Saccharomyces cerevisiae S288C: one gene and its partner. The gene in region 2 interacts genetically with the main gene of each other region. Each region holds a gene or a part of one and is shown on either strand. Other genes may lie near its edges.

What was found. A genetic interaction does not mean that the proteins touch.
Region 1: mutations in PPZ1 (region 2) and VIP1 together harm fitness more than expected from each alone (negative genetic interaction), as found in Saccharomyces cerevisiae (4 studies listed by BioGRID).

The regions. Positions count from the first base shown.
Region 1 is NC_001144.5:935,427-939,186, reverse strand, and holds the start of VIP1 (inositol polyphosphate kinase VIP1), read right to left. Parts: upstream 1,647-3,760; coding exon 1-1,646. Other genes in the region: rRNA-processing protein UTP21, read left to right, coding at 1,954-3,760. UniProt on the Saccharomyces cerevisiae protein: Bifunctional inositol kinase that acts in concert with the IP6K kinases to synthesize the diphosphate group-containing inositol pyrophosphates diphosphoinositol pentakisphosphate, PP-InsP5, and bis-diphosphoinositol tetrakisphosphate, (PP)2-InsP4.
Region 2 is NC_001145.3:239,423-243,182, forward strand, and holds PPZ1 (salt homeostasis regulator), read right to left. Parts: upstream 2,115-3,760; coding exon 36-2,114; downstream 1-35. Other genes in the region: TATA-binding protein-associated factor TAF11, read right to left, coding at 2,567-3,607. UniProt on the Saccharomyces cerevisiae protein: Essential for the maintenance of cell size and integrity in response to osmotic stress.

The DNA.
Region 1 (3,760 bases), on a different chromosome or scaffold from region 2:
GCGTGACGGATAATGATAGCCAGTCCTTTGAATACCCACTTTTGTTCCTTTTCTTCACGAATAATGGGCAGATTCTTCTTTTCCATATCCATCTTCTTTTTGGCTTCAATGAAGGTACTTCTCAATATATTGGCGCATGAATCATAGTAAGCTTTGTTATCCTTTACAAAAGAAAATCCGTTAACATCAATGACGTAACTTTTACCAGAAACGCGAAGCAAATCGAAACCACAGATCATTTGTGAAAAAGCTTTGGAAACTTTCCCAGCAATGGTTTTCTCTTCGTCTGATAACTCAGTAATATATCTAACTTCTTTACCATGAGTATTTCTTCTAACTATACCATCAACCACAGGTGATTTCCTAGTTTCAGCGTGACAAAAGTTCTCACCAATCGTATAAGCCTTCACATCTTCGAAATTATCGGTATCCATAAACTGCTCATAAATGTAAGACCCCTCCGTACGAGGATGAACCAAAGTAGGATCAAACTCAGAAGACTTGTTACCAACTTTACGGAATAGACGACGACCGCCTCCTCCGTTCTTAGAATGATAGTATATATAAATGTTGTGGTCTTCACCATCAACGGGCTTTTCAACAAAGGGCTTAGTCATGGTTTTCCCATCAACTTCTAAAGTATCATCATCAACCATTTTCCATTCCGGTTCTTCAACGGGTTTAACTTCTACGCCATGCTCACGTAATTTTGCCCTTAATTCTTCGTTGGCACGGGGACCACCATCTCTACTGATTTCCAGTCTAGGAGGTGTTGGAACGTTGTAGGCTTCTAATACTTGTAGACATAATCTCCTGTCCCACAAAATCTTTTGCATTATTAAATCATTGATAATGAAAGGCTTGCGTAACTTGACGTATTTAATTGCTTTATCTAGGGGAAATCCTGAAGAAAAGAAAGATATCAAAAAGTCGCAAGTTGGCCAATTCTCTATTCTTTCATCTAGAATCACCTTATCTCCAAAAATGACAGTTTCAAATTCACCATGTTCAATTAAACGATTCAAAATGTGTCTCATTGGCTTTGAAAGGACTTTTGCATCCATTGCACATACCCCAATCTTCCCTACCTTGGGTAGCCTAGGTTTGGGATGACTAGTCGAGGATTTGCGTGAAGAAGCTGATGAAGTAGGTACAGAGTTAGTTCCCATGTTAGTCTGCTCAGCGTCCATTGTTCCTTGAGGTAAATGGGGCGATCCGGTCTTGGAGATGGAATTTATGTTATCTGCATCATTGACTATGTTAGAATTGCTGAGCCCCTCAGGATCAGCTTCTGACTTTGATTCACTGTCTGCCTTTTTTAAACCGGAAGTTGTAACTGTATTGGTGTTGTTTCCGTTTCCTAGTGCAGTGCTTATGGTTCTTTGCAGAGTATCATGCACGGTGAGATTCTCTTCACTGTGATCATCTTGAATACCGGGAGGTGGCAATTTCAAAGACATATTTTCGCTAGCTGACGTCTTAGGACTGAAACCCTCCAATATTGGTGCAATAGATTGCATAGCCTTCTGTGTGTTTTTGTTTAGGAAAAGGGGTGACATCTCAGAAGGTGCACTAGGTAAGTTATTTTTTGTCTCTTGTTGAGGAACCTCATCAGATTCAATCGGTTCCTTCTTTATCCCACTCATGACCTTCTGCAATATATTAATATGCTACGAGATGCTTTTGAATTTGTATGAAATGCTCAGTGGGTAATTTAAGTGGTGAACATATTGATTCAATGATTAATTGCATTTTTCCTATCTTAAATAAATGATTTTCTAAAAACATTTTTGAGCACGTGCTTTTTTTTTTTTAACTGAAAAATTTTGAGAAAAATTTCGCGATGAGATTGCTAATGAAATTTAATAAGTCCTAAGCACAATAAATATACAGCGAAACAGCAGCAAGGAATAAGACACTGAAAAGGCTATAGCGAGTTAGGAATAGTACATTATGTCTATCGACTTGAAAAAAAGAAAAGTCGAAGAAGACGTAAGAAGTAGAGGGAAAAATTCTAAGATATTTTCCCCTTTCCGGATTATTGGTAATGTTAGCAATGGTGTTCCTTTTGCTACTGGTACATTGGGATCTACCTTTTACATTGTAACGTGTGTTGGTAAAACATTTCAGATATATGATGCGAATACCTTACATTTACTTTTTGTTTCCGAGAAAGAAACACCATCCTCAATTGTAGCATTATCAGCACACTTTCACTACGTCTACGCAGCATATGAAAACAAGGTTGGTATTTACAAGAGGGGTATTGAGGAACATTTGCTTGAGCTAGAAACTGATGCAAATGTCGAACATTTGTGCATATTCGGAGATTATCTTTGCGCTTCCACCGACGACAATTCCATCTTTATATACAAGAAGTCCGATCCGCAAGATAAATATCCATCAGAATTCTACACTAAACTTACCGTTACTGAAATTCAAGGTGGCGAAATTGTGTCTTTACAACATTTGGCAACTTATTTGAATAAATTAACTGTCGTTACCAAATCTAACGTTTTACTTTTTAACGTCAGAACCGGGAAGCTTGTATTCACATCAAACGAATTTCCAGACCAAATCACAACTGCTGAACCCGCTCCAGTCCTGGATATTATTGCTCTAGGTACCGTGACCGGTGAGGTTATTATGTTTAATATGAGAAAAGGTAAAAGGATCCGCACAATTAAGATTCCGCAATCAAGAATCTCCTCATTGAGTTTCAGAACCGACGGTTCTTCTCATTTGAGTGTGGGAACGAGCAGTGGTGATCTAATATTTTATGATTTAGATCGCCGTTCAAGAATACACGTTTTGAAGAACATTCATAGAGAATCGTACGGTGGTGTCACTCAGGCTACTTTTTTAAATGGTCAACCCATTATTGTTACATCAGGTGGTGACAATTCCCTGAAGGAGTACGTTTTCGATCCGTCATTATCTCAAGGAAGCGGTGATGTAGTTGTTCAACCGCCAAGATATCTACGTTCCAGAGGGGGTCATTCTCAACCACCTTCATACATTGCGTTTGCTGATTCGCAATCACACTTCATGCTATCAGCATCCAAAGATAGATCATTATGGAGCTTTTCTCTGCGTAAAGATGCACAGTCGCAAGAAATGTCACAAAGGTTACACAAGAAACAAGATGGCGGCAGGGTAGGTGGTAGTACAATTAAGTCTAAATTTCCTGAAATAGTGGCTCTTGCAATTGAAAATGCCAGAATAGGTGAATGGGAAAACATTATCACTGCACATAAAGATGAAAAGTTTGCAAGAACCTGGGATATGCGAAATAAAAGAGTTGGCAGGTGGACTTTTGATACTACTGATGATGGATTTGTTAAATCTGTGGCCATGTCGCAATGTGGTAATTTTGGATTCATCGGTTCTTCTAACGGCTCTATCACCATCTATAATATGCAAAGTGGTATACTCCGTAAAAAATACAAATTGCACAAAAGAGCAGTCACCGGTATATCCTTAGATGGTATGAATCGTAAAATGGTTTCTTGTGGACTAGACGGTATTGTTGGTTTTTATGACTTTAACAAGTCAACCTTGTTGGGAAAATTGAAATTGGATGCACCTATTACCGCAATGGTTTATCATCGTTCTTCCGATCTATTTGCATTGGCTTTAGACGACTTATCAATTGTTGTTATTGACGCAGTTACTCAAAGAGTTGTTCGTCAATTATGGGGTCATAGTAATAGAATAACTGCATTTGATTTCTCACCTGAGGGCCGTTGGATTGTTTCCG
Region 2 (3,760 bases):
GAATATAATACTTCTGGATTTTTTAGTCAGTAAATTTACTGTTGAGATTCGTTATCATTTGTGATGCTTGTTTCCATCATTTGCTGTTGTTGATTAGCCAGTTTTCTTTCCTGTCTACCTTTCTTCATAACTTGCTTCAAAGCTGCACTATCTAGTGGATCTAACAATTCAAAAGAGCACAATAAACCTTCGCTGACGCTCATTACAGCCCCCCAATTATCAAATTCACCACAATAATTTGGCGCGGAAAACACCGTAACGAGACTTCTATCATTGAAAAATTCATAACCGTCTTCCACAACCATGTGAGCTCTACAAACCAAATCAAACCCAAACTTGTTCAAGAATTTGTTAATTGCCACCTTATTATAACAGTAACTTACACCACGTTCGTTATCCTCCCATTCGTTGGGTGAATCTGTGGGATCGGACCACAAAAGATCATTAATTAAGCCAAAATCTGGTACATCAGTAGGCCTAACTACATGTCTGATTTCATCCATAGAATTTAAAACTGGCGACAATCCACCATGAACACAAAAAATCTTTCCGGCTACGATAGCAGCTAATGGTAATGTATTAAAAGTATCGATGAATGTCTTCCAGATCTTGATGTTACAACGACGTTTACATTCATCATAAAATCCATAAACCCTTGTGACGTTAGCACATTCATGGTTGCCTCTCAATAAAAAGAAATTTTCAGGGTATTTTATTTTGTAACAAAACAATAGTAAAATAGTCTCCAGTGACTGTTTACCACGGTCCACATAATCACCTAGGAATAAATAGTTCGAGGATGGTGGGAACCCACATTTGGTAAAAAGCCTTAAGAGATCCCCATATTGGCCATGAACGTCGCCTACAATTTTTACAGGAGGTGATAATTCTAATAAGGAAGGTTGAGAAAGAAAGATTTCACGAGCCTTGATGCAAATCTGTAAAATTTCATTGTTCTTCAAACAAACATTTTTTGTTCTCTTAGCAGCGTAGCCCGCATCCAGTAATTTTTGGATAGTTTCATCAATATCGATAGGCTTTTTGAATTTTTTTGGAGCGTTTTTGTTTCCGGAAGATTGCATTATATCATTAAATTCCTCATTCGGATCTTTTTTGCTATCTGTTATATTATTATTTTTATCATTAACATTTTCCATTGATGCATGGATATTACTCAATTGAGATGAATTTTCAATGTCATCATCATTGCTGATGTGTTTGCTCGGGTAAATATCGCGACTTGAATGGTGATTCAATGAGGAGGTTGAATTAGAGGTAAAGTATTCACCAGAGTGATCTGTTAGCTTGGACAAGCCTGGAGAGTTTAATGGGGTGCTGTATGCGGTATTACCATCTGATCCAAACGAAGATTTCCTACTGTGTAGCGAAGATGCATGAGAATTTGACCGGGTTAATGCCTGAACGAGATAATTCTCCTGATTGTTAGAGGAGTATGATCCATTGTTAGGCTCTTCATGGGTCACATCTGATTTCCTTCTTGACACTGATCCGCTTCTTATACTGGACGGACGAGAATTCGAAGATCTAGAAAACCTTTTAGTGTGCGAGATGTCGTTGTCTTTATCATCATTGTCATCATCGGTTAAGGCGTTCTCATAATAGGTAGATGAGTATGAAGATTTATGCTTGGATACGTGTGTGCTACTATTGTTTGTTTTTAAAATGGGTGACTTGGGTTCCATTTGGATCATTGAAGGTGGTAAATCAGCAGCAGCCTTAGTATTATAACTTGATCTTCTAGAAGTAGAAGGCCTCTTAGTAGAGGATGATGAAGGAGTAGTTAACAATTCGTTTTGAGAATTTGAATGCGAGTGTGAGCTAGATGGGAAATGGTAACGATTCGTGTGAGAGCTATGTCGTTGGTGATTAACCTCAAGATTGGGCTTTGATGGAGTGGAGGGATCAGGGACGTTTGAATTAGTATTCGTAGTGGACGAAGAAGGAAGAGATCGCCTTGATCTTGAAGATTTATTTGATTTTGCAGACTTCACAGAATGGGAAGTCTCGGTTCTCGACACTTGAGGACGAGGATTTCTCGAGGAGGAATTCGAATGTGAATCCTTTTTCGAAGATTTTGAACTTGAATTACCCATTTTGAAAAGGAAGGAAAGATAAGCAGAGAGTGGTTGATTTGTTGTTTTATGACAAAGCCTCTAGGGGAAAAGAAGCGACTATAACGATGAAATAAAAATAAAACGATAAAGAAAAGTATAATCAAATGTATTCCAAAGAAGTACTTTTATATATAATCTTTATATTTAACTTGAAAGAAAAAGATTTAACATGTATTGCCAAAACAAACAAAACTAATAATGGAAGCTATTGTATTGTGCTTTTATGTTACCCACCTGCCAATGGTTCACAAGAGAAAGCTGATTAACAGAATTAGAAGATCTGCAGTAATCGTTTTCTTTTTTTTTTTTTCATTAATTTATATGCTATCCTTTTAAAAATAGACATGTCATTTCAAACGACATGTTAAAAATTATATATATGTTTATATATAGATTGATATATGTTGGAGCCGTTGGACAATTATGGGCAGCTATCTGAACATGGATCCCTGCCCTTCTCCTTGAGTTCTCCAGTAAGCGTTAGGCAAAGTGTCCGACTGCAGACGGTAGAGTCTCCACGCCTCACGGATGTGTTCGGGCAATAAGGGACTGTTGTTATATTTCTCGATGCTTACATCTAGTTTGTTGAATTGGAGGACGAGCTTATTGTACTGCTCGATGAGTTGTAGCTTCAAGTCCTGTGAATTATGGTCTGATTGCTGTAAGGATTTGGACTGTAGCAACGAGTTGCCCAGCGTAGTTTCGCGCTTGTCTACTTCTTCATCGTCGAAGTAGAAATCAGGTTCGTCTTCGGGAACGCTATCGGATTGATAATCTTGCTTGTATTGCTGGTTTTCTATGATGGAGAAAGTCAATTTTTTTAGATATTTTTTCAATTTATAGCCTATTTTGGTCCTCTTATCAAACTCTATGCACATTTGACTTGTCAACCACTTATTCTTCACAATCATGGCCAATTCGATTATCTCACCAGCGTATATTTTTCCCACCGCTTGCAGAAAAACACGAATATTTTCACTTATAGTTTGATTAGCTACTGTGCTAGCCAGTTTTTTGACCTGGGTTTTGTTTAGGGATGTTCTATGGAAAACTTCAAACCGATTAGTTTGATCTTTATCCAAGTTGGTTACCAAGAGCTTGAATTGTTCGTCCTGCGCAAGTTTTTCATTTTCATCTTCGTTGGTATTGGTGTCTTCGTAATTGCTATTTTGTGTTTGCTGTTGTAAAATGTCTTGTGGAAAGATCAGGTTTTCTGGGACTTTGTTGATAGAGTCCGGGTCTTGCTGATTTATCCTGGTTTTCTGGTATTTGTATTTTGGATATTTATTTAATTGGTTGTTGATTGATGTACCACCCGTTCGCAGGTTTTGCAATTTCCACGTAACGTAGTCCTGGTCCTCACTGATGACTTGGTCAATCATTTGTTTTGTGGAAAAATAGTTTGCTATTGTCAGTATTGGCGGATAGTTCACTTTCGGGATGGTGTCCAAAGGACCTTGAGGTTCGGTCATCGTTGCGCTGTTGAAGCTCAAACTTACTTTGTGCTCTTCATTTATATGGATAATTATCTCTATATACCTCTTCTTGATTTTTCAATTTCTTTCAACTTTTCAGTCGAAGAAATGGGAATAAGAGAAAAAATTCGGTAATGAACTGAACAGAGA